Ovis aries: one gene and its partners. The protein of the gene in region 5 interacts with the protein of the main gene of each other region in a biochemical or structural test. Links are inferred from orthologs where the notes say so. Each region holds a gene or a part of one and is shown on either strand. Other genes may lie near its edges.

Region 1 (2,997 bases), on a different chromosome or scaffold from region 5:
GCCCTTTGTATTATTTCTAAGTAATTAGAACTGCTGAAGATCAATGTGCAGCTGACAAGAGTCTAATGCAGTGGTTTTCAAGTGTTAAAGGACCAGTGCTAGACCAGAAAATATATTTCTAGAAAATACAGTCCCTTTTCATTCTCACTGGGTTTGGGATAGAACACATAGTCTATATATTTAAGCGCTTTCTGAATGATTCATTATATGACTTGTTTGTGAACTTTGATTCTATTAATTGTCAGTATGGCTTACCTAAATAACTGTTTAACAGGTAATATTTTCATATCTCGAACTTCAATCCCAAATGCTGCCTCTGAAGAAGGAGATGAAGATGACTGGGCATCCAACAAAGTTATGTTTAAAATAGGTAAGAAAGAAAAGTAACCAAATTATTTCCTTAAAATAGAGGCTGTTTTGTTTTAATTCTTAACTGTATTTTTTTCAATACTTCTAGGTGACCTTGGGCATGTAACAAGGATCTCTAGTCCACAAGTTGAAGAGGGTGATAGCCGTTTTCTTGCAAATGAAGTTTTACAGGAGGTAGTTTTTCTTCTTTAAGCCATTTGCTTTGTAACACTTATCAGCTGCTAGAAAACTATAAATGCAGATGTACTGAAATTTTAAGCTAATAACCAGTAGAAAGGTAATACAGAATAGAAAGTGTAAACTATTAGCTTGTTGGGGTATTTAATCTAGCAAAAGTCAATAAAGGCAAAGATTTATCATATTCAACAGTGCTGGGGTTGCAATAAAAAAGAAGTTTGCACGCATTACTGGTGAAACTTTAAAATGACAGTGTCTTTTCGGAGATCAAAGTGTTAACATCTGTCAACATTTTAAAGTCACATTTCCTTTGACCCAGAATTTCCATTTCTAGGAGTCTCTCTTAAAGACATATTCATATACAAATAAGTTGAGAATGATGTTAATATTTAGCAATAAAGGAATGATTAAATAAAGTATGGCATACAGTTAATAATGTGAAAGTGTGTGTTAGTCACTTCGTTGTGTCCATCTCTTTGCGATCCCATAGACTGTAGCCCGCCAGGCTCCTCTGTCCATAGAATTCTCCAGGCGAGAATACTGGAGTGGGTTGCCATTTCCTTCTCCAGGGGACAACTTCCTGACCCAGTGATCGAACCCAGGTCTCCTGGATTGTAGGCAGATTCTTTACCATCTGAGCCAACTGGGAAGCCCCATAGTTAATGATACTATTTCAAAAACTGTTATAAAATATTTCTTGATAAGCATTTTGAATGGAAATAGAGTAACTAGAACAAAGGAATTGTATGACACTATTCTGTTTATGTATATTTGTGTCGTATATGTATGTGGATATTTCTAACTTGTTGATCTTTGTAGTTTCATATGAATGCCCCTAGAGGTAACGTTTCTTCTGAGAGTTGAGTGAGGCTGGTGATAAAGAGGAGGCCTTTTAGAAATAACCTGAATACTTTCAGAAATGTATTTACCATCCCACCCCAAAGTGTATTGTTGTTTAGTCGCTAAGTTGTGTCCTACTCTTTGCAACCCCATGGTCTGTGGCTCGCCAGGCTCCTCTGTCCATGGGATTTCCCAGGCAGGAATATTGCAGTGGGTTACCATTTCCTTCTCTGGGGGATCATCCCAGCCCAGGGGTTAAACCTGTGTCTCCTGCATTGTCAGGTGGATTCTGTACCACTGAGTTACCAGGAAAGCCCCAGAGTGTACATAACTTTGTCATTAAAAAAAATTATAATCTTCCCAAATTTAGCTTGTTCTCTGAATATGTCCTAAATTTAAATGTATCACTGGACATTGTAATTTCATCTTATTTCTCACCCAAATAATCATTGAGGTGTAATCTTACTTAATTTTGACCATCTTTATATTCCCTTAACTTTTTGTTTCCTTTAATTTTACAGAACTATACTCACCTACCAAAAGCAGATATTTTTGCCCTTGCCCTCACGGTGGTATGTGCTGCTGGTGCTGAGCCTCTTCCCAGAAATGGAGACCAATGGCATGAAATTAGACAGGGTAGATTACCTCGGATTCCACAAGTGCTTTCCCAAGAATTTACAGAGTTGCTAAAAGTGAGCATTTTATATGTGAAGCACTGTATTGACATAGTTCAATATTTTATTAAATTGCATATCTTTGTGTTAATTTTACTTCTCTTTTTAAGGTTATGATTCATCCAGATCCAGAGAGAAGACCTTCAGCAATGGCACTGGTGAAGCATTCAGTATTGCTGTCTGCTTCGAGGAAGAGTGCAGAACAATTACGAATAGAATTGAATGCTGAAAAGTTCAAAAATTCACTTTTGCAGAAGTAAGTGATGGGGTTTTTGTTTTGTTTTTACTTTCTCATTTTTATTCTCAGATTTTAATTAGAAATGATGTATACTTTACATCAGTGAAGAATAAAGTGGCTTGGCATGTTATATGGTTAAAGTTTGGGGACTTCTGTCTTGATATTTGACCTATAAATTGGCATTGTTTCTAAACTTTGAAATTATGGACTTAAAAGATTTTTAAACCTGCATATATTTGAAAGCAGTGATAATTTTTATGCCCAAATTGTCCCAAAAGCTAAACTGAACAGGTATCAGTTTTTTCTCTCCAAACTTTTGTCATAAATGACATTCTCCTCGAAATGTTCTGTTTACTTTTATGAAAGGATGAAATTAATGTCAATTAGGTTAGATGATTTTCACATTTGATCTGAATGACCTTTGACATTTTTGGAAAACTGGTTGGAGTGTTTATCTAATTCATTTGCTTTATTCCTACCATTTTTATACTAACCTAATAAAACTGACTTGAAATACTTGAAGGTTCTTTTGCCATTAGTTTGATAGCCAGCATAGTTCATATAAAGAGGAAATAGAATTCTCCTTTTGTCTCTTATGTAAATAGATTTTCACAATATTATCTTTTTTTCTCCTTAATTGTATCTTGGAGTAATGATGGCACACAAAAATGATAATGTAGTTTGTATTTGGCCTCTTAG
Region 2 (4,117 bases), on a different chromosome or scaffold from region 5:
AGTGTTATTTCGAAAGAGCTGTTTGGTGAAAATTCTTCTCTGTACTGGGATCCTTATCCATCTGAATAGAATAGTAAACAACATCAGCTTCATGCTTGTTCTCAGTTGCTTGTATACCCCTGTGACCTGTATTTTCATTTGAAAGTATTAGATTTCAACTTCAAGAGTATTTGGGGCTAGGGGCTTAAGTCCTTACTAAGACTCAGGAATTTTTTAACTACACCAAACCACCCATAGTAGAAGGGAAATTAGATTTATCCTTCCCTCATTACTGCCTTTGTTTCAGGGAAATGAATCCATAGTTGCTAAAACTACAGTGACTGTTCCCAATGATGGCGGGCCCATCGAGGCTGTGTCCACTATTGAGACCGTGCCATATTGGACCCGGAGCCGAAGGAAAACAGGTCCGCTGGGTTTGTGGCTGAATTGCCTATGTAAAAACAACTGGTGAAATCCGGGGAGAACTGGTTTCTTAGAACCCTCATGAGTCAGGGGCTGGATGTTTCAGGTCGTTCACTGTACTGCTTCTTACTGGGGGACAGAGCCCTGTTTTGTCATGCCCTGCTTTGGCTTGCTAGCCTGACCTACACCGCTGGTGTGTAGCTTGTCTCTCTGGAAACTGTGTTGCATAGTTCACTTCTGGGTGTTATAGACTCCTGGTTATCTACTAGTTATATTGTGTATTTGGCTGTGTCGGATCTTTGCTGCGGCACTCAGGATCTTTGTTGTGGCGTGCACGTTTCTTTGGTTGTGGCTCACAGGCTATTTAGTTCCCCTGTAGCATGTGGGATGTTTCCCAACATGGAAGACATATTTCTTTTCCATGTCCCCTGGCACTGGAAGGGAGATTCTTAATCACTGGACTGCCAGGGAAGTCCCTACTGGTTATATTAGAATTGGGGTTAAAATTCAGACGGGAGAATTACCTGGCGGTCCAGTGGTTAGGACTTCGCACTCTGACTGCCAAGGACCCTGGGATCAGTCCCTGGTTGAGGAGCTAAGTCTCATGAACCACAGGGTGCGGCAAAAAAAATTCAGAAGGAACGAAACATCTAAGACACAAAGCTTGGAGTTGTCTGTTTTCTAGGTACTTTACAGCCTTGGAACAGTGACTCCACATTGAGCAGCAGGCAGCCAGAGCCAAAAACCGAAACAGACGGCTCCAGCACTCCGCAGAGCAATGGGGGGATGCGCCTGCACGACTTCGTCTCTAAGACGGTAAAGCTGGGGCTGCTGCTGCTTTGGGACACATCTAATTTTTTAACGGTGGGCGTAATATTTGCTAATCACAAATTTAAATATTTAGTGTTGTAAAGTTAAATGTCAAATTTCCTTCCTCCTCATCCCCCTCTCCAGGGTTAGAGAGGGTGTGTATCTTTCCATTCTGTGAGTGATAGTAAAAGAAAGCAACTTTTCAGAAGCAGTGTTTGCTTTATCATGATATGTATTTACAGTTCATGCTTGAATATGGCACGCCTTAACTTTGTCCCATTTGATTTCTGGTAAAAATCCAAGCAAACTGACAGGGGCACAGAGGCCTTAACTGACTTGTTTGAGCCACAGGACAGTAAGTAGCAGAGTTTAACATAGAGGTTTTCTGACTCCTTGCCAGCAGTTTCTTTCCACTAGTGTATGGTGATCCCTTTGCAAATTACTTAGCCTCTTTTTGCTTGTTTCCTTATCTTAAAAAAAAAAAAAAAACCCTATAGGATTATTGTGAGAATTACACAAGTAAAAAATATGTGTAAAGGGATGAGAAAGCTATTGGGCACATGCTAAGTGCTTAATAAATGTTGATTGATGATAAATGTTCTAATTCATACCATTCCCTGTTTCATCCTCAGGTTATTAAACCCGAATCTTGTGTACCATGTGGAAAGCGAATAAAATTTGGCAAGCTGTCTCTGAAGTGTCGAGACTGTCGTGTGGTCTCTCATCCAGAATGTCGGGACCGCTGTCCGCTTCCCTGTATTCCTACCCTGACAGGGACACCTGTCAAGATTGGAGAAGTATGTATATGACCTGTGGGAGCCCTCACTGTGTTATGACTTTGTTAGCTTTTAAAAAGCCTCTGTGCTCAGACGCTTCAGTCTGTCCAACCCCTTGTGACCCCATGGACCGTAGTCTGCCAGGCTCCTCTGTCTGTGGGGATTCTCTAGGGAAGAAGACTGGAGTGGGTTGCCATACCATCCTCCAGGGGATCTTCCCAGCCTAGTGATAGACCCTGTGTCGTGGTGGATTCTTTACCTCTGAGCCACCAGAGAAGCCCTTTAAAAGCTTATGGTCATTTTTTTCAAAAATTATTGACGCCATGTACATTTCCTCCCTCAAATAGTGAATAGAAATTATAAAATGTTAACTTGAAGAATCCTGTTTGGGTTTGTCTGTCTGATTAGTAGCTTTTCTAAACCAAATTCTTCTTCCTTTTCTTCCCCTCCCTTCCTCTTCCTCTTTCCCTCCCTTTCCTTATTTTCTTGCTTTTTCCTTCTCCCTTCCCTCCTTTCGCTTCCTATTCTTCTCTTCCTTCCCATCCCCATCCCATCTACTTTTGTAAAATTTCAAACATATACAAAAGTAGAGAGATGAGTGTAACTAACCCCTATCATTCTTATCATTCATATCTTATCATTCAGCTTTCATGATCCCTGACTCATGTCCAGTCTTGATTTGTTAATACCTCCATCTTCTCCTGACCCTGTTCAGTGAATTATTTTGAAGCAAATCCCAGCCATGATATAATTTCATCTTTGAATATTCTTTATCTTATGTTGGAGATATTCCATACTAGGCTGTTAAGATTAGATTCATTTCTAAAATTTGATTCAATTCATTAAGAAATTATTGTTAGAAGCAACATTAGCAAGAATCAAAACAAAATGATTGAGCTGCTACTCAGCCTCCAGCAAATCAAATATTACTTTTCTTTAATCTTTTTTTTTTCTTTTAGTGCATGATTCCCATTTAATCTTTATTTTTTTTCTGGTTGTTCTGGGTTTTTGTTGCTACTCGAGGGCTTTCTCTAGTTGACAGTGAGTGGGCCTACTCTTTGTTGTGGTACACGGGCTTCTTTCTTCGTGGAGCACAGACTTTAGGCCCGTAAGTCTCAGCAGTTGTGGCGCGTGGGCCTTGTTGCTCTGTGGCATGTGGAATCTTCCCAGACCAGGGATCAAACCCATGTCCCCTGCACTGGAGGTGGATTCTTATCCACTGTACTACTAGGGAAGTCCTTTAATCTTAAGAATTTTTATCCATGCATGTAGTTTTTTTTACAGATTTTCTGTACTATAGAGCCACGGAGTTCTCTCCTACAGATCAGTGTGTGTCATAGTCAACTGAGTTGTATTAAATAATTTTTCTTACTAAGAGTAATTACAGGATAGAACAGATTTTTTAGAGTAATAACTTAGTTTATATTACACTCCACACCTGTAATCTCATTATTGCTTTCTTTCTGATGCCCTTGACTGTAAGAGGAGCAGGGGTGGAGTTGTAGCCAGTGATCTTATTACTTGTTCATGTGAGAGTGTGGTACATGTGACCATAAATCAGTCCTGGTGTAGAGGTAGGAAGAATAATTGAGCGGCTCTAGTCTTATTTATGCTTTGGGAAGAGGAATTTTAAAGTAGGCATGGTGTCCCAGCCTCAGTATTAGTCTGGGGATGGCTCTTCCCATTGGCCTTCATCTGCTAGTCTAAGTGGTATAAATAATAACTTTAAACTCACCTTTTTCAGGGAATGCTGGCAGATTATGTGTCCCAGACTTCTCCAATGATACCGTCAATTGTTGTCCACTGTGTAAATGAGATTGAGCAAAGAGGACTGACTGAGGTAAGAGTCCATCCTTGGAGAGGGTGAGTTTGTTATTTGCATCAGTAATTAAGAGGTTTTTAACTGAAAATGTCATCTTGATAACAGACAGGCCTGTATCGGATCTCAGGCTGTGACCGGACAGTAAAAGAGCTAAAAGAGAAATTCCTCAGAGTGAAAACTGTACCCCTCCTCAGCAAAGTGGATGACATCCATGCTATCTGTAGCCTCCTGAAAGACTTCCTTCGAAACCTCAAAGAACCCCTTCTGACCTTTCGGCTAAACAAGGCCTTTATGGATGCAGCAGGTG
Region 3 (4,117 bases), on a different chromosome or scaffold from region 5:
CATTCAAATTTGACTTTTTATTAATCTATAGTACTGTCTGGGCTTCTTGAGTTTTCAGTCTTAGATCTAATCTTATGACCTTGAGCAAACTGTGTTCTTCTCTCTGAGCCCTGCTCTTTCATTTGTGAAATTAATATGAATCTATTGATTTATTTTCTTCTAAAACTCACATATCTTGAGTTTTGCAGTGTTTTTTAGTGTCTTCAGTTTTAAAGGTGGTAACTGCATTCGGTTCAGTTTCTTTGGTCCATTGATGGTTGAACTTACATATAGTATGCTAATTTAAAAAAGAAACCGTGCAAAGAAGACCATGGAGTTTTATAAATATGAATCTGATAAGGGATTAAACAAGATTCAAAACATAGTAGTCATCAATCAATTTTATGATAATCATTCCTTAATGTGAATCATATTTTGCTCTCAATTTCTTCTAAAATTCTCTCTTCACTCATGGGCCAAAGTAAGAGAAAAGAAAAGACAATTACGTACTTCATTGAGGTCTAAAGAGTACACTATCCTCACCTTTCCATGTAATTTTTTAAAAAGAGGGTAATCATTCTAATCTTAATGAGAGCATTTGGTAGTAATACTCTAGTCTCTTATGGCATTTAACTGGGTTTGAATCACAAAACTATTTTTTTCCTCTCTCTCCTTTAAGGAACTGGCCTACTTCTACCCTCAGGTGAATTTATTTGATTTTTTATATTAATACTAATAAGAGAAAATCTCAGATATCATATTTATTATAATCGTTAGGATAGGCAACCACAGCAAAACTTGAAATGCTTTCTTTGGTTTTTCTAATTCCATCAAAGAACATATATTTTCCACCTGAATATATAAAGAATTACATTAATGCACAGAAACAAATAAAAGGCCATGATAGATTAACAGAGGTACCTATTCCAAAATTTCAGAAAAGAAATAATGGTTTTGCACCAAAACCTTATAGTTACGAAGGGGCACTGGGCTAGGAATTAGAGAATTCTTTTCTCTTTATTCTTGGCATTTCTGAAATCCCTGTATTATTCTGGGACTAGGACCTTCCCTTTCTTTGAGCTCATTGCCTTCATGAAAAACTAAACTATAGAACAGAAAGGCAAAAATGACCTTCTCTAATCCAAATGTCCATGAGTTTATAAATTATATAATAATTAAATTCACACTACCACTTTCCTCTGGACTTTGATAGCTGGACCTGTGTTAGTAATGCAGGTTCTTGGAGTTCAATACTGGCTATTGATCTTAAAGAAGTGATTTATTCATTACCCCTCAGGTACCCTAAGAAAAATCCTTTCCAAAATTTCCTTACTGTGATTTACCATAGGGAAGAGTTTGGTTTCTCTGTTTTCCTCACAGAGTAAACATCTCTTGTGATGCGAATAGCCATGTCTGAAATGAATGCAATGATTCATTTTCAGAGATTCAAAACTGATTTCTCATACACTGTTGCTTTTTCAATGGTCTTTCTCTCTAGCTTTTCAGACAATTCTACCAGCTGGACGCCTATCCATCTGGTGCCTGGTATTACCTTCCACTAGGCACACAATACACTGATGCCCCCTCATTCTCTGACATCCCTAATCCCATTGGCTCTGAGAACAGTGGAAAGACTACTATGCCACTGTGGTGGTAAGTTCATTTAAATGACTGCATATTGCTGCCGTATCAAGGGAAATAGAAGAAAACATAATATAAAAATAAATTTAGAATAAGCATGACACTTAAATGCTTAGTGTCCTATGCTAGAATTTTCTGAAATGGAAAATTGATGATAACTTTCTGATATATGGCTAATGTTAATCCATTACTCAGGAACATGTGGAGCAGTGCTATCTATTTGATAAGTGATAATCATTCTGATGAAAATAGGAGGAAAATTTTCTCTCCAAAGTAAAAATTCAACTTTATCCTCCTTGCACTTTTGCTAATCTTTAAATGCCTTTCTTTGGATTATACCCATGATATACATTAGAATGCAATGTGGGGGATAAACTGCAGATTTTGACATTCCTAAAGTCCTAACTTGAAATCCTGATCTTTTTATTTTCGCTTACTTGAAATAATATAATGATGTTTGTTTTTATAACCTTGAAGGTGATTAAATATAATAATCTATTAAGCATACTGCTGGGAAAATTAGTGCTCATTTTTTGATTTAGCAAAATTTTATTACTGACTACCTTACTCACGTTTTACCAATTTTTGTTCCTTCAGAAGAGTCAAGTGAATTATGAGGAACTCCACAATTATGGTCTTTGGTAAGTTGGAAATTGCTTGTCTTGATCCTCTTTTCATATGAATACAAAGGTACAACTTGTAGACTATAAAGTTGTTTTGCTGGTCCTCTAGTCTAGCTATATTTAGACACATTACACTTAGATAATATCAATAATTAAATTGGCTTCAACATTTTTTGTATTATAATAATATCAAATTTAAGTAACAATAAAACTAGCTAATTTTAATTAATATAATTTATTATATTGAAATTTCTACACAAGTATAGGAGTGTAGGTGTTACTAATTCTGGTGACCCCAGCAGAGGAACCTTATTCTTTATGATCACTGGAATAGAAATACTTAAAAAGTCACATAGTTAAATCAAGTATTTGTCTGTTAAGAAGAAAACAGATTTAAATGTCCATAGATGTGTTTTGAGTACTTCAGTTTACTGTATAGGAGCTTGTAGTTGTGTGTGTGTGTGTATGTTCCCTTTCTAGTGGTGGAAACTTCCCTTACAACAGATCAAAAGAAGGAAAGTAAAAGTCTGACATACGTGGAAGTTTTTACTTTGAATTATTTTGCCATATTTTCTGTTACTGCAAAAGAAAGTGCAACCTAGTCATAAATTGCCTGTAAAACTTAAAAATCAGGAGCAGTGGGTATGTGTTAGTAACAGGAGACACATATAACTTTGTGAACTTCATCTTAAGATGAAGAGAAAATGACTATTAAAGTGTATCTTAACAGTAGCTTCTCCTTTCAAAACATGCAGCATAACTAACTACATATTTCTTTTTTGATTTACAGATGGGATTGAAAATTCCATGCTCTACATGTCTTTTCATCTATCATGTCAAACCATTCTATCCAAAGGCTTCAATTGCTGTTTTAGAATAGGACAATCTCAAATTGAAGGCACTCTTTCTTCTTGAGTTCTCTATTGTATTTTAGATTGTGTAACATCCTTAAGTGAAATTGTCCTAAGAGCTTGTTACCTAAATTCCAGTAGTATCATGCTGGTATAAAGGCCACTGAGTCAAAGGGAATTACAGTCTTCATTAAATTTCTATATGGAAAATGTTTTTAAAGCCTTTGAATCACCTCTCCTGTAAGTGCCATCATTTCAAATAACTGTGTGCAGTAACTGAGATTTTGTCTTTCTTCTTTTCAATAAATTACATTTTAAGGCACTATTCCTATTTTTGTCATTATTCCATTGGGAGGAATTTACACAACCTTGTGAGTTTGTATGTATATAACATTTTGTTTTCACTAAATTTTTATGACACTTTCAAAAATTCAAATGTTCACTTCTAGCTGATGCTGGTAGATTATAAACTGAGTCTAAGATCTTTCATTTGAAGTCAACTGTTTATAGAATATTTTCCATGTGAACATGGATGTGGCTGCAGAGAGAACAACAGTGTAGTAGTTGTGGGTGCATTGGGAATTTGAACAACCTGGTTATACTGTTTAATTATGCAGGACTTGTTGGAGCCCAATCCACTTGATTATACTTGAGTTTATAACTAGGTAGATTATAAAATAAACATTGTAAAAGTTAACACGGGACACACAGTAACAGAGCATTCATAGTGAGCTGTTCGGTGTCCTCCAAAACTCTAATGAGGAATTACTTCTCAAAATGACAATAGTTGCTTATTCTGATATCTTTAAAGCCCCAGGTGAAATTTACTTTCCTGGCTTTATTCTAGGATTCCCAACCAACCCAATCTGTCATGACTCTTTAAGAACCTTGTATGACCCAGGTCACAAAACGCAGGTAACAAGGTTTCATATACAACAGCTTAGACCATCTATATCAGTTGTTCTGTTTCTTACTGATTATATGTACATGTATACATAACATTGAAACATGTAATTTTTGCCT
Region 4 (4,759 bases), on a different chromosome or scaffold from region 5:
ATTACACCATTTCATCTCACTGAGCTTTCACAATGGCCCATGAAGGCAAGGAGATGACGACGTCCATTTGACAGAGGTGAAAACCGAGTCTCAAGGAAGTGACGTGAATCTCTCAGGGTCAAGGAGCTCCTAGGGGCATAGTGACCATGTGAACCCAGGTCTGGCTGCCATAAGGCTGGGTCCTCTCCACCAACCTTGGCCCACTCTCACACACCAGCTGGGGAGGAAAATGAGAGGCAGCCATGGAAGCCAGGCTCATGCCACCAACAGGCACTTATAGGTCGGCCAAGGCCACAGCTGACAGCTAAGCTGGCTGGGGTGGAGCATCTCATGTGATTTCTGTAAAGCTTGCACTGCCCTTGGGGAGAGGGACTGCCCCCTTCCCCCAGGCCTGGTCTCCAACCCCAGCTCACCATTGATCAGCTCCAGGGCCTCCTCCTTGGTTCGGGTGATCTTCTCCTGCCGCCAGGACGAGGGTCGCCGTGACTGGCTGTGCTTGACCAGCAGGTGTGAGCAGCGGACCCTGGTGGGCTCCCCTTGTCCATTTTTGCCGCTGCCACTGCTGTTGCCACTTGGCCGCTCCCACTGGCTGGCATTAGTGATGTGATTGAAGTAGTACACCCGGCCTAGAAGGGGGGGTGGGGTACAGAATTCAGCTGGGACCTGCTCAGTGCATACCACCATCAAGCCATGATATGGAACTGGCCAACAAGATGCCTTCATTCAGCCAGCCCACTGCTGTCCACCAGTGTCACCAGGACTTAGGGAGCTAACCCTCTAGGTGGGAGGCAGACAGACAATAAACAAGCAAGTACGACCACATAATAACTTTGGTCATTAACAACTTCAAGGGGGGAAAATAATCCAAGATGAGGAAGAGAGGTTCAAAGCATGCACTCAGCAGCCAGACTCCCTGTTCAAATCTGCCACTCACTCCCTGTATGACTCCCTTCTCCGGGCCTCAGTTTTCTCACTTGTAAAATGGAAATAACAACAGTACTTGCCTGAATGGTTTTTGGAAGGACTGTATGAGTTCACATCTGTAACGAGTTTAGGACAGCACTTGACATATATTAACACATTATCGACTGGGGGATTTTTGCAAAAACTAACGCCTGTGGCTGGCGATTATAAATGAATGTTGAGACACTCCAGTCAGTAACATTTGGGTAACAAAAAACATACTAATACATCTCTGGTCAAACCGTGGGCTTCCCAGGTGGCACAGAGGTAAAGAATCTGCCTGCTAATGCAGGAAGCAAAAAAATCTTGGGTTTGATGATACTCTGGAAGAGGAAATGGCAACTCACTCCAGTATTCTTGCCTGGGAAATCCCATGGACAGAGGAGCCTGGTGGGATAGTCCATGGGGTCACAAAGAGTAGGACACGACTTGAGCATGCACATGTTACTGTGAGGCATCTGGTCAGCTACTAGTGCCTCCAAAACAAAGCAATGGGTGTTTATTCTGCTGCATAAACTGTACCCATGTGTGTCACACACAAAAGCTTTGTCCTTTTCCCCTACCCAGTTACAGAACTGGGGTCCAGCATTACTGGGGTCAGATGTTATCCAGACTAAAGAGCATGGAGTGAGGGCTGCCAACAAGAAGCTTGAAGTAGGACCCAGTAGAGATAGGGTGTCATTCCTGGAGCAGAGTCTGCCCGGGGTTACACGGAGGACTTGTCCAAACACCGTGAAGGGCTGGATGTCACCCTCAGGGAACACTGTCAGGATTGAACTGGGTTGAAATGGCTGGAGTGGGAGCCCCAAATTTGGCAGAGCATTGGCTTTACATTGTAGGTCACATCCATGGGTCAAGGCTGCAGGGTGGGGTGGGGGTTGGTGAGAGCTGAGCCACTGACTGCCTCAAAAACACTGGCAATGGGTTCCATCTCCCTGAACCTCAGTTTTCTCATTTGAAAAGTGGGGATGAGAGAATAAGGACATCAAACCTCCAGAGGGTTAATGTGGAGAGTGGATGGTGCTGTATGCAAAGTGCTCCTGATGTTCAAAAAATCAAATTATTACTGCGACAATGACTGCTAGGCTCTATGGAGAAAGAAGTGTGAAATACTGGAACCTGCATCTTGGTAGTTTGCAGCAAGAAGGGTAGGGGGCTCTGGAGTCAGAATGACTGGGTCCGAACCCAACCCCCACCCCCTGAAATCAATGACCTTGGGCGGGTTCCTTGCGTTTTCTGGCCTCAAGTTTCCCGATCTGCAAAACGGGGGTAACAATTACCTCTCTCCCAAAATTATGACCATTTAGAGAAAGCAAACACCCAAAATGCTTGGAACTATGCTTGGTCCTGAGATAAACGTTCCCTATTCTTGACATTATTATTGGGGAAAAGTCTTAAGTCGGGTTCCGGAGCACAAGGGCAGTTCTCAGGCAGAATACCACCGGCCGGATATCGCAAACTCAGAATATGGTGTGGATGGTAGCGAGCGTATTAGCAGAAGGAGGTTGTATATCCGAGGCCGAACAACACCCTATAGGGCCCCGCCCTGAGCATGATGTTGGGGTGTCCTCCCCAAGGGGTCCCCACCCTGGGACCAGCGGGTTGCACAGACGTTCCCTCAGGACTTCTGGTGCATTAGGCCGAACGAAAATGTCAGTCAGATCGGCAGGGCCAGGGCCATCGCCTGAGGGAGTGCCGCGGGATCACCATCCCCCTGCCACCCCGGGAGCACCCTGGAACTCCCCGGCCACGCCCCTTGCCTCAGTTTCCTCGGGATTCCCCTCTCCTCAGGCTCGCAGCCCCAACAGGGTGGGCCGGGGCCGTTACCCGGGGACGACGCGGAGGAGCCAGGACCCCACGGGAACCGAGCGGCGCTGCCGCGCTCGAGGGACAAGCTCGAGCCCTGCTTCTGCGGGCCCTCGCGGCCCCGTCCCAGCCCCGACCCCCGCGGCACCTGAGCTGCGGCTCATACGCTTCTCCCAGCCGGGCGGCAGCTTCTCCTCGTCCGCCATCTTCCCTCCTGCCGCAGAGGCCGCTCCGCCTCCGCCGCACCGCCTCTGCCGCCCGCGTCCGCCCATCGCTGCTGCCGATTGGCTGAGCCCGCCCCGCACGGGGTCTTGGCGACAGCACTCATTGGGCACCCTAACTGTCCGGACTGACTCTCTGGCTTCCTATTGAGCAAAGGCGGGGGTGGGCGGAGCCTCCCACCATTAATCTGGGCCCCGCCCCGGTCGGCCTCACCCAGGTCCCGCCCTCTTCCTTTCCTCGGCCGCTAAATGGTGGGAAAGGGACGCGAACTCGCCTTATCAACGCCCTCTGCTGAGCTTCCAAAAGTTCCGACCCCTCCTTTGCGTCCTTCGCCACAGAGCCCATCCGATTGGCTACTACTGTAGCAATTCCCGCCTTCCTAAACCATAGCCCGCGGGCTGAAGCCTCCCAGGCGGAAGTGTCTGGCCTGTGTGGAGGTAACCGCAGCGAAGGAAGTTCTTGAAAAAGGCGGTGCTGCCTTTGCTGTTGCCATAGCAACGCAGTTACCTTGGTGATGAACAGCTAAGAATCCAGAAGCCTATATTTGGCTCCTCCGTTCTCCCTCGTCCCACTTGTTTGCCCAAGATGTCCAAAGCTAGCCCACCTCCTTTTAATTTTTTGTGCAAAACTCCCTATTTTACTGACCCAAACACCTTCCATTTCCTTTGAAATCTACTTTACTTTACTAATTCCCTCCCAGTTTGGCTTCTGCCTCTGTCCTGGGTGACTCGTGGGTGTTGGCATTGCCATTCGGATGAGGACACGGTGGCTTTGTGGGTGGAAATCAGTGGGTGGAAGCGCGGGTGGGAGGATAATAGCTCAGTTTGAATCAAGTTGCTTTTAAAATTTATTTTTTATTGAAATATCAGTTGAATAAGTCAATTTAAAATGAAGGCTGTGGCACTAAACGGACATTGAAGAGGTGGTTGGAGACCTAGGGCTGTAGATTTACGTGGGAATCGGGACACCAACAGGGAAGAGTTCAACTAAAGTTCATCTATAGGAGGAGGAGAGTGAAAAAGCTAGTTTAAAATGCAACATTAAAAAAACTAAGATCATGGCATCTGGCCCCATCACTTCATGGCAAATAGATAAGGGGAAAGTGGAAACGGTGACAGATTTTATTTTCCAGGGCTCCAAAATCACTGTGGATGGTGAGTGCAGTGATGAAATTAAGACACTTGCTCCTTGAAAGGAAAGCTATGACAAACCTAGACAGGGTATTAAAAAGCAGAGACATCACTAAGCCGACAAAGGTCTGTATAGTCAAAGCTACAGTTTCTCCAGTAGTCATGTATGGACGTTGAGAGTTGGACAATAAGGAAGGCTGAGCGCCAAAGAACTGATGCTTTTGAATTGTGGTTCTGGGGAAGACTCAAGAGTCCCTTGGATTGCAAGGAGATCCAACCAGTCCATCCTAAAGGAAATCAGTCCTGAATATTCACTGGAAGGACTGATGCTGAAGTGAAGTTCCACCTGATGCCATCACTTTGACCACCTGATGTGAAGAGCCAACTCATTGGGAAAGACCCTGATGGTGGGAAAGATTGAGGGCAGAAGAAGAAGGTGACAGAAGATGAGATGGTGGGATGGCATCACTGGCTCCATGGACATGAGTTTAAACAAACTCCAGGAGATGGTGAAGGACAGGGAACCCTGGTGTGCTGCAGTCCATGGGATTGCAAAGAGTCGGACACGACTTAACAACTGAACAATATAGCATACAACCTTATGTAACTGTTAAAAAGAATGAGGCACAGTGACATGA
Region 5 (4,117 bases):
CCCCTCCTTTCTAAGGGGAGGGGTGATGAGAGTCTTTGGGAGGCCCTTCCCTAGGGCCAGCATGGTGGGAGGATTCCTGGGTAACAGGAATCTAGTCCTTGCTGTACACAAGGACTAGAGGCTTTGAGAGATCACTTGACCCTGGTTCTTGATGGTTACCAGCTGAACCAGCTGTCTGCATTGACAGACGACAGAAGCTGGCATCTGAGCCTCCCTCTTCCTCCCTCTGTCCCAGGGGATTTTGGACTGGCAACCAAAGTGGAGTATGACGGGGAACGGAAGAAGACCCTGTGCGGGACTCCTAATTACATAGCTCCTGAGGTGCTGAGCAAGAAAGGGCACAGTTTCGAGGTGGACGTATGGTCCATTGGGTGCATCATGTAAGTTGGGAGTTGTCTCAGGACCCACCAGTCTCAGCAAGGGGCTTTCTGGACATCTCACTTGGCAGGCTTTATCCTGCAGACCTTTCCGCCTTTGGAAAGACTGTTCCAGAGGACAGATGGTCTCTGAAGGAACCCTCATTGCTGAATTGGTATATCCTGTAGGATTCCTGCAGCCTGGGCTGTGGGTTCAGGGAATGAGGGAGGGAATGTCTCCACAAACTTGCTCTAATCCCTTGCTATTCAAAGTACGGCAGACCAGCTGCAGCATCACGTAGGAACTTGTTACGCAGAATCTCAAGACCCAGACTAACTGGATCACAATCTGTATTAAGACCCTTGAGTGATTTCTATGCACAATAAAGTATTAGAACCACTGATCTAAAAAGCAGCATTGGGTGGGAAGAATTAGGCCAGGAGTGGTGCTGGCAGGAGGAGGTCCTGTGGTCTGTCTGGGTCAAGGCCATCAGAGGTGGGTGGTGGGCAGAGAGTTGGGCCTGTTCAGGTGTTACCCCTTTTGTTGTTTCCCTGGATACTGGAGAGTTAGAAATGGCTTTCCTACTTCTTTGCCTTGGAATTTCCCACATGAAAACTTGCAGCCTAAAGTACAGAACTATTAACTGTGGGGCTGCCTCAAGGAAAGTGACCCCTGCTTGGACCTGTTCCATGTTAGCTGGCAGCCTCTGGCCCCTAGATTACCGCAGGCTATAGCTAAAAAGTCACTGGTCCATTAGAACCCAGTTTCATCACCTGTATTCTACTGAGGGTACCTCCCTGCCAGTGTCGTGGCTCCTGGGGCTGCTTAGTGAACTTGTGAATTGTCCTCTGGGGCCCCAGAGTCACAGTGAATGCCCAAAAGATGTCTGACTTCCTTTCTGGCCCTGAGAGGATTCCTCCCTGCATCTGGGTTTTGGTTGGGAGCCTTGAGCCAAATCCCTCCTTGTGCTTACAGGTATACCTTGTTAGTGGGCAAGCCACCTTTTGAGACCTCTTGCCTAAAAGAGACCTACCTCCGGATCAAGAACAATGAATACAGTATTCCCAAGGTGACTAAAACCACTTTAAGTTTACATTTGTTTTATTTAATTCCCTCCCCCACCAAGTGATTTACAGAGCCCAGCCATTTCCGGGGGAAAGAGATGGGTCAGTGCCACCCCATGGGTAAGTGTAACAGCTTTAGAGGGTCCTGTCTGAAATTGCATACAGAGGCTGATGTATGTGTACAGAAACAGTTTTTCTTGGGATGAGAGTTTGCAGGCTTTCATCCGTTGGGGAGATAACCCAAAAGACGTGAAAAACAGAGAGAAAGAGCCAGAGTAGGGGCAGACGGAGAAGTGCTGCTTAGCCTGGCTGTGGACTGTCTTGGTTCAGATGGGCTCTGCCACTTTTTAGCCAGATCACAATGGACAAATGGCCTGAGTCTTCTGAGCTGCAGTTTCCCATCTGTAAAGTGGAGTCCCTGCCCCAGAGCATCTTGCACACAGCGAGCGCTCACAGAATCTCGAACCACCGTGAAGGCGAAGTGGCGTGCTTTTGCAGCCCCCAGCAAGAGTGCATTGAGAGGGATAGTTGGCAGCAGTCTGGCACACAGCTGCTTCCACAGTTTGGCATCTTTGTCTTATGTGAAGCCAAGAGCCCTGTCTCCATCAGGATGGATGGGCTGAATCCGTTACAGAGGGTCAATTATTGGGCCGAGTAGAGCGGTTCCCAGTGTGGGGGTTGCACCTGACTGCCTCGGTGTGGGTGCTGGCTCCACCACTCACTCGGGATGTATCTTAGGCACTTGACTTCTCTGTGCCTATTTCCTCATCTGCTAAAGAGGGATGGTACTAGAGAGCTTCAGTCCTTGGGTGTTTCTCTGAGGGTTAAGTGAGTTCATCTACACGAAGTGCTTACAATATTTTGCTGGTAGATAGTAAGTACAAAGTTGATGCTAGGCTTTACTGTGCATTTGACCTACCCTGGGTTGGGTCTCCTTGCCAGGGCTCCAAGCTTGGTGCTGTGTCCCCACTTTATAGATGAAGATACAAAGGCCCAGAAAGTTGGGTTGGTTGGCACAGCTGGTGCTGAGGGACAGAACTGGGACTTACACCAGGCCTTTATGACTTCCAAGCCTTTGTTTTCAAGTGCTGTTCTAGTGGTGAGCAACTTGTCAACTTAGTAAAGCTGCCAGTGGAAACTTGGGACGTTTATAGCCACTGAACATGGTGTATTTGGGGCCGGGTAGTGGGTGGTGGTGCAGCAGCTGGGTTGGTCCTGTGTCATATCCTGCTTATGACTCCCCACCTTCCCTCCAGCACATCAACCCCGTGGCCTCCTCTCTCATCAAGAAGATGCTTCAGCCAGATCCCAGTGCCCGTCCAACCATTCACGAGCTGCTCAATGACGAGTTTTTCACTTCCGGCTATATCCCTGCCCGCCTCCCCATCACCTGCCTCACCATTCCACCGAGGTTTTCAATTGCTCCCAGTAGCCTGGACCCCAGCAACCGGAAGCCTCTCACCATCCTCAATAAAGGTAAACCAGAGTGTGGGTAGACAAACAGCCTTGCCTGCCTCTGTGTGTGAATGGATGGTCCCCAAAGCTCAGGTGTGCAGTAGGATGGGCCCCAGTCTTTGAATCCATGGTCCCCATCCTTATGTGGCAAATGCCTTTCCCCATAGCCCTGTCAGGGAAGACAGACCTTACTGTGACTGAGTCAGACCTGTCATGTCCGGAGAGAAGAGAGTGGCTAAATGCCATGCCTGAATAATTCTTAATATATATTTTTTAAATCGTTGATATTGCCCTGCATGGTTCATTGGAAAAAATGTTGAGAAGCTTCAGATACACACATGGAGCACAATGTGCGTGGGACCCACATCACCGCCAGAGTCAACACTTGCTAAGATTTGTAGTGTTTGCTTCATAGCTCCTTGTTTGTTCCTTTGAAGTATTTTTGAAGTTAATTCCAGACATCTTGCCATTTTACCCCCAAGAACTTCCGTACGCATCTCTCTAAAAGGATAGACATTTTCTTACAAAACCACATCTCATTGCTTGGTTTGTCGTTGTTTCTAGGTCTCTTCAGAGAGCAGAATTAGAAAATACATAACTGGGGTGGGGATCTCTCATTATATGTGTGTGTATGTGTGTGTATTGTTTTTGTCCCAAACAACATGATAGTAAGTTGTACACATTCTGGCCTTTACTACTTAGTACTTCAGTGTATATTTCCTAAAAACAATTCTTTTACCTAACCACGACACAGGACCTAGTTATCAAGTTCAGGAAATTGAAATTGGTGCAAACTGGTCTTACAGCAGTCTTTTTCTCCACTGTGAAATTACTACTTTAATTCTCTTTTGGTAATTTGTAAGGGTCTAATTTAATATTATAGGATCTTTAATTTTATGCTTGTATTTCTTTTTCTCTTACAATGAAAACCTTGTTTGCTTACACGGTATACATGAATTTTCAACATATATAAAGTATGTTATGAAACTATGTTTATTTCCATGCAATTCTTTTTGTCCTTAGACTACATTACACACACACACACACACACACACAGAAAAACCCCAAGAAAAGCCACTTGAAATACTTTATTTCTCTGTGTGGATATAGCACAACTTTATGAGTTCATTTCAGTTTTGACACTGCTGTTTTAAGGATTACCTTTTTCTTTTTGCTTTAATTTTTGATACTTTCTTTGGTTATATGAATATTTCCTTTGATTGGTGATCACTTGGTTAAGG
Region 6 (3,594 bases), on a different chromosome or scaffold from region 5:
CAGTAAGATAGCAAAAGAGATAACTGAACGCAGGAAATGATTCAAGTTGCTTTCCATTCTTGGATTTTAAATTTGATTCCCACTCTGCATTCTGTTACAGAAAAAACATTGCCATGGTGTGATGGTTTAAGATAGACAGCATATAAATTTCCACAGGGTGTTAATAAGTGTACAACAAAATACAGAGTGTATTATAGTGGAATACATTTGGGGGAAAGAATGGAATAAACACAGTTAAATATTCTGTTTATTGGAATGGCATGTACTTGCTTTAAAAGATATCAAGAAAAACAACTCCTTCAGAGGAGGTATAGCCAAGATCAGAACCCTTCTATCCCTTCCTTGGCCTATGTGGATTCCTTGTTAAGCTTAACTGAACATCTGTTTGCAGAACCTGTCAGGCAGCTGCCTCTTCTCTCCCAAGGAGAAGGAGAAGACTATAGAGTTGCCACTCAACAACATGCTCATTCCCCACCTGACTGGATTTGTCTTTCCAGTGGTTTCCCCTGACTCACATTCCATTCTCTCTTCCTGCTCTTTATCCAGTCAGTAGAGAAAATCAAAGCAGGGCAAGCACCCCTCCATCTCTAGCTCCACTGTCCTCTTATATGCAGCCTAGACCTACAGTCACCCACTGATGGCATGCATTTTTTGGAATTTGGAGGAGATATTTCACACACTGGCTTCCCTGGTGGCTCAGATGGCAAAGAATCTGCCTATGATGTAGGAGATCCAGCTTTGACCTCTGGTTCAGGAAGATCCTCCAGAGAAGGGAATGGCTATCCACTCCAGTATACTTGCCTGGGAAATTCCATGGACAGAGGGACCTGGCTGGCTACAGTCCACAGGGTCGCAAAGAGTCAGATACGACTAAGCAACTAACACACTATCTCAGACACAGGTCCAGAGTTATTAGTGTTAGACTATAAATTCAAATTCTTATGGATTTACAAAAGAAGTAGAAGTTGCTTCAGAATGTTAATATTACAATACAGTATTATCCAGCCAATAAAAAATATGTTACGGGGACTTCCCTGGCAGTTCACACTTCCACAGCAGGGGTTTGACCCTTTCCACTCGGGTTTGAGCCCTATTTGTGGAACTGGCATCCCATACGAAGTGTGGCTTAGCCCCCAAAGAAAGAAGAATTATGTTACATTTATATTGGTTGACTTAATAGGGAGTTTTTCAAATGGAGTGTTCAGGTGAGAGAATCAAGAGACAGGAAAATATATGATTCCATGTTGTGGAAAATACAATGACAAAAGTACTAAACTGTAGATATAATTGTGATGGGTGATGTGTGAACAGCAGTGCTTTTTGAGAAAACAGAAGTATGGAAAATAGTATTTTTAGTACTGCTTCTGACAGTTATACTCTCACACACATATTTGGATATGAGTCTGAGACATAGAGAAAAGTAAGGAAGGTGACTCATCAGGTTGTTAGCATTAATGACCTGGGAGGTTGGAGGACGTTGAGAATTGCAAAAGAAATAATTGAATAAAACTCCAAAGGAAGAAAAAGTTTCTAAGAATATTCATAGTAAGAGAAAAATGTAGCATGTATAAATGATCCCATGCACATAAAATTCTATGCATATGCAGAAAAAGATTAATGATAGGATATTTACTTAGATTTAACAGTGAAATTTCAGGTGATCTTGACATCTTTCATTGTATAATCTTACTGCAAAAAAAGCAATAGAGAAAAATAATCAGAAAAAAATTAAAGCTGTTTTCAGTGGGACTCAAAAAAATGCCCATTTTCTTTGTACCGGGAGAGAAGGGGACGACAGAGGATGAGATGGCTGGATGGCATCACTGACTCAATGGACATGAGCCTGAGTGAACTCTGGGAGTTGATGATGCACAGGGAGGCCTGGTGTGCTTCGATTCATGGGGTCGTAAAAAGTTGGACACGACTGAGCGACTGAACTGACTGATGATAGAGGTGGTATATGAAAATGCAGGGCTGGGGAACAGCAAAAGTCCCATTAGACATGCCCCCCAGGTCAGAGTGATACCTTGACCACAGACAAACTGATAGGAGTCCTCATTCTGTGGCTGGATAGTAAAGTTATCAGCGCAAGATAGCATTATTTCTTTCGAATTTAAAGAAACTAGATGAATGATCTGTGTGTTTTAAGTTCTGCATTAGCAAAAGTGAGCTGTGAAATGTTCAGGAGCTCCTATAAAGGCTAAATGAAACCAAAGTAACTTCTCTTCCTTGTAGGCTCAAACGGACCACAGTCATTTACAGTTGAGCAGTGGGGCACACCTGAGAAGCTGCCAAGAGCTCATACCTGGTAAGCAGTTTCTTTGACCCTAGAGAACCAAGTCCTCAGAGAGAGAACGTCCTCTCTCAGTCTAGATACAGAAGGTCTAGTTCCCTCTGTGCTGTGTTGGTAGCAGATAAGGAGGTGGGGGGTGGGAGGGAGAGGATGGAGAGACAGTAAGACTAACTCAGGAACAGGTGTTTCTTTACCAGGCAGGCTTGGGCTTTAAGTCCGGGTAGCTGAACACTGGAGAGACACATCTGAACTGTTGATGATATGTTGCCTCCATTCATATGAATGATAAGCCATTCTACAAAGGGCTAGAACATTTCCTCTTGAAGGTTCAAATGACGGGAACCCAAACATTTGGAGGTCAGGGTGGAGGTGAGAGGTCACCACCAAGAAGTCATGAAGAGAATCCACACCTTGAGTCCAATCCTAGGCCTTCCTTCTCCCTGCGGAGAAAAGGTCTTTTCCTGCTGTTGGAACATTCTGTCACAAATAGCTGCACTGTGACTAGTTTGCCCTGGGAACTTGCTTTGTCACTTTGTCACTGTCCGTCATAACCAGCCTCTCTCTGTTCTTTCAGCTTTAATCGCCTGGACTTGCCACCCTATGAATCATTTGAAGAATTATGGGATAAACTTCAGATGGCCATTGAGAACACTCAGGGTTTTGATGGCGTTGATTAGATTTTAAGTAACCATTTATGGTGTTTCACTGCCACTTTTTTTTAAAGCAAAATCTTGACTTAAAATTTTCCAGGGAACTACTAATCCTTGGCCATTGATGCTTCTCAGATATTGGAGAAAATCGTGTCAACGAATTAGAAGAGCTAGTATGACAACTCTTCCATTATTTCATTCATTTTAGTAATGTGTTGCATTTACATAGTTGTTTCATTCTATTTTGAGTTCACACCCAAGGATTTAAGTCCTGTGTGCCTGAAAACGTGAGATTTATCCTTGGATTTACCTCTTTTACAGTATTTGCCAGGCAGTTCTTTCTTAAACTACTGAAATGATAACTGTGAATACCTGTGATAAGTGACATGTGTGAAAAGTGTGATTTTTTTGAGAAGGAGAACTGAAATTTGGGGTAAAAAACTTCAATACTGAGTACACGACAATATACTCAATGCTGCCTGCAGCTAGTATTTTTTAGACCTGCCTACCACATGGGCAGTAGCAGGTTTTTAGAAGAATCTTGCAAAGTGTGTTACCTATATTTTCAGTCAACTGATTCACTTACAAAAAGCTGTCTGCTTCTTCATTTTAAAAGTATTTGGCTTTTGTTAGTATGCGGTTTTACTAAAC
Region 7 (4,648 bases), on a different chromosome or scaffold from region 5:
TCTTTATCACCAAGTGATGAGGATGTGAGTGTGCAGAATGTGGGAAGGTTGCTTGGGGACTCAGGGAAACACTGCGTCCTGCAACTGTGCGCATAAGTGTTCATGTCTGTCCCTTTTCTCCATGAGGATCTCTGTGTTTGTGTCTAAATTACCCAGAGTTTCTAAGGCTTCAGACCAGTAAGCCTCAATCACTGAGTTGTACACTGACACTGAGGTTAGATGAAGAATATTTCTGTACTTGGTTAGGTCCACCGTGTTCAACCATGCCTTGGATAAGATCCATCTTAATTTATGCACTTGTGTATGTTTGAATGCATTTAGAAACCTTCCATTTCCCAACCAAAATGTGAGCAACACATTCAAGGAAAACAGCAATTCCTTTGTTTGTCATTACCACAAGAGGAACCATTTTGAGGACATACACTGTGGCTATGGTGTGTGTGTGTGCATGTGTGTGTGCAGTGCCTTTTGGGGTGGGGACAGTAAGTTGGGACATTCTCTAAAAGTGGACCCTTTGAAACACCCAAGCTTCTCCCAATGGCAGGCTGAGCCCTTTTGACGTTCTTGCTCCTATCATGTCTTGATAATAAGGGACATTTTTTAAGTGTCCCAGGAGAAATATCAGTGGAAACTGAATACCCAGCTGAAGGAAGGTGACTAGAAACTGAGGGCCTATTATACAGAGTAAAGTAAGTCAGAAAGAGAAAAACAAATATCATATATTAATGCGTATATATGAAATCTAGAAGGATGGTGGGAAGGATGCTGGGAAAGGTTGAAGGCAGGAGGAGAAGGGGACAAAGAGGATGAGATGGTTGGATGGCATCACCAACTCGATGGGCATGAGTTTGAGCAGACTCTGGAAGATGGTGAAGGGCAGGAAAGCTTGCCGTGCTGCAGTCCATGGGCTCACAAAGAATCAGACACGACTGAGAGACTGAAGGACAACAAAAAGTATGGTGCTGATGAAGCTGTTTGTAGGGCAGCAATGGAGACGCATAGAGAACAGACTTGTGGACACAGCTGGGAAAGGAGAGAATTGGGAGAGTAGCATTGAAACATATACTTTACATATGCAAAATGAATAGCCAGTGGGAATTGGCAGGGAGCTCAGGCCCTTTGGTCTGTGACAACCTAGAGGGGTGGGAATGGGTGGGAGGGTGGAGGGAGGTTCAAGAGGGAGGGGATGTGTGTATACAGCTGATTCATGCTGATGCGTGGCAGAACCCAACTGAATGTTGTAAAGCAATTATCCTTCAATTAAAGGAAAAAAACTACTACACCTTCAGAAGGCAGAAAGGGTAGCTCAGGGAGGTAGCTTCCAATGGACCCCACCGTGAAAGTGAAAGTCGCTTGGTCCTGACCGACTCTTTGCCTCCAGGCCAGAATACTGGGGTGGTAGCTGCTCCCTTCTCCAGGGGATCTTCCCAACCCAGCAATGGAACCCAGGTCTCCCGCATTGCAAGCGGATTCTTTACCGTCTGAGTCACCAGGGAAACCCCTCCCTGCCTCCATTACCTACTTAGGAGAAAACTTAGAAAGCGAAAGCGAAAGTGACTCAGTCGTGTCCCAGTCTTTTTCTCCAGGCCAGATCACTGGAGTGGGTAGCCGGTCCCCTCTCCAGGGGATCTTCCCCATCCAGGGATAGAACTCAGGAATCCTGCGCTGCAGGTGGATTCTTTACCAGCATTCCAACATGAGACGTTGGTCAGCGGGGGTTAAGAAGCATAAAGAAATCTTAACTGACCTGTAACAATCGCCTCACGCAAACCTGTAAGTAACGCATGCCAAGGGTAAGGTTAAATGCTGGGATACAGCCAGCTCGAAACAGGCCACCCATGTGACAAGTTATTTCTACCTTGGACACATTTCTAAGCGGATGGCAAGCTCATTTAAAAAGGGCTTGTCCTCACCTCCGTGGGCCGCGTCTGCCCCCTGGTCCGCCGGTCACCCGGCGCGCACTTCCTCGCGGTCCCGCTAGATGGCAGGACCGGGCTCCTAGGGGTGGGGGTGGGCGCCGCGCCGCGATCGCCAGGCTCACTCGGCACCGTGGACGCCACGCCCTGCAAATTATTAGGGACTTTTCGTTAGCGACCAAACTGCCGCCTTTTGCATATTGGAATTAGAACCGCGGTGGTGAAGGCAGGGTTGCAGAACTGCACCCTCCCTTTTGGAGGGGCGTGTGGCCCGGGAGAGCCGACGGGGCAGCCTCTTGGGCGCAAACCTCAGCTGCCCCGTGGTCCCCTCTTCGAACAGGGACCCAAGGAACTCGTCCATGGTGACCGCTCAAAGTGTCTGCGAGGTCGTGGAGGCGGGAGCTGGCTGCTGCTGGCCGGCTTTTGTGAAACGGCAGTGAGGATGCTGGCGATTTGTCTCTGAGCCTTGGGATAAACCCTGGGAATGTTCCAGTCATAGCCGAACACGGGAGGAACCTGGGGTGCGCAGATCCTGCCAGGGTGCAGGACCATCCGCTTTTTCCGAAGAAGTCTTCTCTTTCCCTGGCGGGCACGTGGAGCCCAATCTAAAGCCTGCCCGCCCGCATGGACGTACATCATTATGATCTGTCTTTGGACAATGGCCTTAATTGTGGGTACATCTTTTTATTAGGTTGAAATAGAAATTGCCTACACTCCAGCAGGTTTATCTACCACCGCCACCCCCAAAATAGACCCAGACAATTTAAAATGATTCACCAGTGATATCTTTGTGTGTATCCGTAATTTAGTAAATCCATGTGGTGGAAGGGTTGAGGTTTGCAAACTATTAAAGTTTTACATTTCATACGTCTAGTCTGCTGTAGAAAAAGTTGTACACAAACGAATATTCCTGTCTTTTGAGTATTTACTGCCTCCATAGACGAGTCCGGAGTTCACCAGCGGATTTCGCTGCTGAGCGGAACAGAGGGGCAGGGAAAGCTGGGCTGCGCCGAAAACCGACCAATCTCGCCGCTGAGACTGCCCTGCCGGAGGGCAGGGGACCCAGACCCGGAGGAGACCGGCGCTGGGGGCGCCTGCGGACCCCGTGGCCTCCGGGGTCTCGGTGAGGGAAGCCGGCGGGCGAGCGCAGGGGCTTCCCGCGCGCGCTCTGCGGAGGCCTCTCGGAGGCCGCCCCTCGCCCCGCGCGCCGCCCGCCCCGCTCAGGATTGAGGAAGTGAGTCTGGCCCGGCCCGGCCCCCGGCGCACGGCCGGAGCCTCCTCGGAGGAGGGCAGAGGGGCGGCCCGGCCCCGAGCGCCGCCGTCCGCCCGGCCCCGCGCAGCCCGCGCCCCAGGCGCCCGCTGCCCTGCCCGCCGCCGCCGCCCGCAGGTAAGCGCTGCCCCGCCGCAGCCGGCGCGGAGTCCCAGCCCCGCCGCCCAGGCCCCGCGCGGGAAGCGTCTCCCCCGCCCTCCGCGGCGCACTGCCCTGCGTCTCCCGCCGCGCCCTCGGGCTGGAGGGTTCGGGGGGGGCGCAGGCCGGCGCCCGGGCCGGGGGAGCGGGCGAAAGCCACAAAAGGAAGAGGCGCCGAGGCGTCCGCACGGTTCCTCCGCCCTTAGAGAAGCCCCCGCCTTCGAGCGGGCGCGCGTGTGCGCCGGGTGTGTGAGTGCGGGGCGGCGCGGGGGCGCGGCCCGGGACGGCCTGGCGGCGCCGGGCGCCCGGGCGCCGTCTCCCCCACCCCGAGTCCGGGACGGAACCCGCCTTCTCCTGGCGGCCTCTGCGGGCGACCTTCCGCGTGGGATGAGTGTGATCGCGGCCGGGGAAGGCCGGGGACCCCAGGGGGGACGGTGGTGACCGAGGCTCTGGGATCTCTGCGGTCCGCTCACCCTGCCCGTCCACCTTGTGAGGCCGGCGAGTTTTTCTCCCATAAGCATCGGAGATGTAAGGAAATAGGAGCGTGCAGTTACGTTTTCAGCGAGCTTTTCACCAAATGCATTGTCTTTAGAGTTTGCCACTCACTCCCATTGTATCCAGATTCCCTGGGCGTTACAGGGGCAGATGGCAACCCACTCCAGTATTCTTGCCTGGAGAATCCCATGGACGGGGGAGCATGGTAGGCTACAGCCCGCGGGGTCGCAAAGAGTCAGACACGACTGATCGACTTCACTTAAAGGGGCAACTAGAATACGCACGATTTTGAAAAATGCTAACATTCAACTTCTTTTGTGGTCTGATTTAATTATCCTTGTGAATGTCCTAAAAGAATAAAAAATTCAGTTGAAAACATACAAACCTCACACTCAGTTTGTCCCTACAGGTTTGTGGGCCTGCCAAACCTCTCCCTCAGGCTTCCACACCTCAGGGAGCGGCCCTAGTACTCAGATCAAAGCCTGAGACATAAAAACCTGGGAGCTGTCTTCCCTCCCGTGTTCTCATCCCTTGAGTTCAGTTATTGGCAAGGACTGTTGAGTCGTCCTCTCAAAGGTAATGTTCAGGTCCAGCCCCTTCTCCCTCGCCAGCGTCTCTTCCCTACAATTGTAGCTCTCCCCTCCCCCATTCTCTGTTTGGGAGCCGGAGTATAGCTGGAGTGATTTATTGTTTAAAAAGGAAAATTAGAGAGTGTCAGTCCTCTACTCGGAATCCTCAATAGTTTCCTCTTGTGCTTGGCATGAAATCCCAAAGACCTCCTTCCCCTCTCATCCCCCAGTTGATCTGGCCTCTGCCATCTGAGACCCCC

Evidence for each region.
Region 1: the proteins of PLK1 (region 5) and WEE1 form a complex in vitro, tested with the Homo sapiens proteins (2 studies listed by BioGRID, with this or other methods). The link is inferred for Ovis aries from reciprocal best matches to the Homo sapiens genes PLK1 and WEE1.
Region 2: of the proteins of PLK1 (region 5) and RACGAP1, one has a biochemical effect on the other in vitro, tested with the Homo sapiens proteins (3 studies listed by BioGRID and IntAct, with this or other methods). The link is inferred for Ovis aries from reciprocal best matches to the Homo sapiens genes PLK1 and RACGAP1.
Region 3: of the proteins of PLK1 (region 5) and CSN1S1, one has a biochemical effect on the other in vitro, tested with the Homo sapiens proteins (2 studies listed by BioGRID). The link is inferred for Ovis aries from reciprocal best matches to the Homo sapiens genes PLK1 and CSN1S1.
Region 4: the proteins of PLK1 (region 5) and PIN1 form a complex in vitro, tested with the Homo sapiens proteins (3 studies listed by BioGRID, with this or other methods). The link is inferred for Ovis aries from reciprocal best matches to the Homo sapiens genes PLK1 and PIN1.
Region 6: the proteins of PLK1 (region 5) and NEDD4 form a complex in vitro, tested with the Homo sapiens proteins (2 studies listed by BioGRID, with this or other methods). The link is inferred for Ovis aries from reciprocal best matches to the Homo sapiens genes PLK1 and NEDD4.
Region 7: the proteins of PLK1 (region 5) and LRRK1 form a complex in vitro, tested with the Homo sapiens proteins (2 studies listed by BioGRID, with this or other methods). The link is inferred for Ovis aries from reciprocal best matches to the Homo sapiens genes PLK1 and LRRK1.

Annotation. Positions count from the first base shown.
Region 1 is NC_056068.1:42,787,058-42,790,054, reverse strand, and holds part of WEE1 (wee1-like protein kinase), read left to right. Parts: intron 1-274; coding exon 275-370; intron 371-457; coding exon 458-543; intron 544-1,907; coding exon 1,908-2,078; intron 2,079-2,170; coding exon 2,171-2,316; intron 2,317-2,997. UniProt on the Homo sapiens protein: Acts as a negative regulator of entry into mitosis (G2 to M transition) by protecting the nucleus from cytoplasmically activated cyclin B1-complexed CDK1 before the onset of mitosis by mediating phosphorylation of CDK1 on 'Tyr-15'.
Region 2 is NC_056056.1:136,300,138-136,304,254, forward strand, and holds part of RACGAP1 (rac GTPase-activating protein 1), read left to right. Parts: intron 1-286; coding exon 287-404; intron 405-1,087; coding exon 1,088-1,218; intron 1,219-1,844; coding exon 1,845-2,009; intron 2,010-3,732; coding exon 3,733-3,828; intron 3,829-3,915; coding exon 3,916-4,114; intron 4,115-4,117.
Region 3 is NC_056059.1:86,188,503-86,192,619, forward strand, and holds the end of CSN1S1 (alpha-S1-casein), read left to right. Parts: intron 1-658; coding exon 659-682; intron 683-1,477; coding exon 1,478-1,632; intron 1,633-2,217; coding exon 2,218-2,218; 3' UTR 2,219-2,261; intron 2,262-3,033; 3' UTR 3,034-3,416; downstream 3,417-4,117. UniProt on the Homo sapiens protein: Important role in the capacity of milk to transport calcium phosphate. Casoxin D acts as opioid antagonist and has vasorelaxing activity mediated by bradykinin B1 receptors.
Region 4 is NC_056058.1:12,284,125-12,288,883, reverse strand, and holds the start of PIN1 (peptidyl-prolyl cis-trans isomerase NIMA-interacting 1), read right to left. Parts: upstream 3,001-4,759; 5' UTR 2,976-3,000; coding exon 2,918-2,975; intron 627-2,917; coding exon 414-626; intron 1-413. UniProt on the Homo sapiens protein: Peptidyl-prolyl cis/trans isomerase (PPIase) that binds to and isomerizes specific phosphorylated Ser/Thr-Pro (pSer/Thr-Pro) motifs.
Region 5 is NC_056077.1:21,884,380-21,888,496, forward strand, and holds part of PLK1 (serine/threonine-protein kinase PLK1), read left to right. Parts: intron 1-235; coding exon 236-380; intron 381-1,332; coding exon 1,333-1,426; intron 1,427-2,677; coding exon 2,678-2,897; intron 2,898-4,117. UniProt on the Homo sapiens protein: Serine/threonine-protein kinase that performs several important functions throughout M phase of the cell cycle, including the regulation of centrosome maturation and spindle assembly, the removal of cohesins from chromosome arms, the inactivation of anaphase-promoting complex/cyclosome (APC/C) inhibitors, and the regulation of mitotic exit and cytokinesis.
Region 6 is NC_056060.1:52,695,721-52,699,314, forward strand, and holds part of NEDD4 (E3 ubiquitin-protein ligase NEDD4), read left to right. Parts: intron 1-2,235; coding exon 2,236-2,308; intron 2,309-2,867; coding exon 2,868-2,970; 3' UTR 2,971-3,594. UniProt on the Homo sapiens protein: E3 ubiquitin-protein ligase which accepts ubiquitin from an E2 ubiquitin-conjugating enzyme in the form of a thioester and then directly transfers the ubiquitin to targeted substrates. Specifically ubiquitinates 'Lys-63' in target proteins.
Region 7 is NC_056071.1:5,009,905-5,014,552, reverse strand, and holds the start of LRRK1 (leucine-rich repeat serine/threonine-protein kinase 1), read left to right. Parts: upstream 1-1,565; 5' UTR 1,566-1,773; intron 1,774-2,113; exon of another isoform or gene 2,114-3,303; intron 3,304-4,228; exon of another isoform or gene 4,229-4,395; intron 4,396-4,648.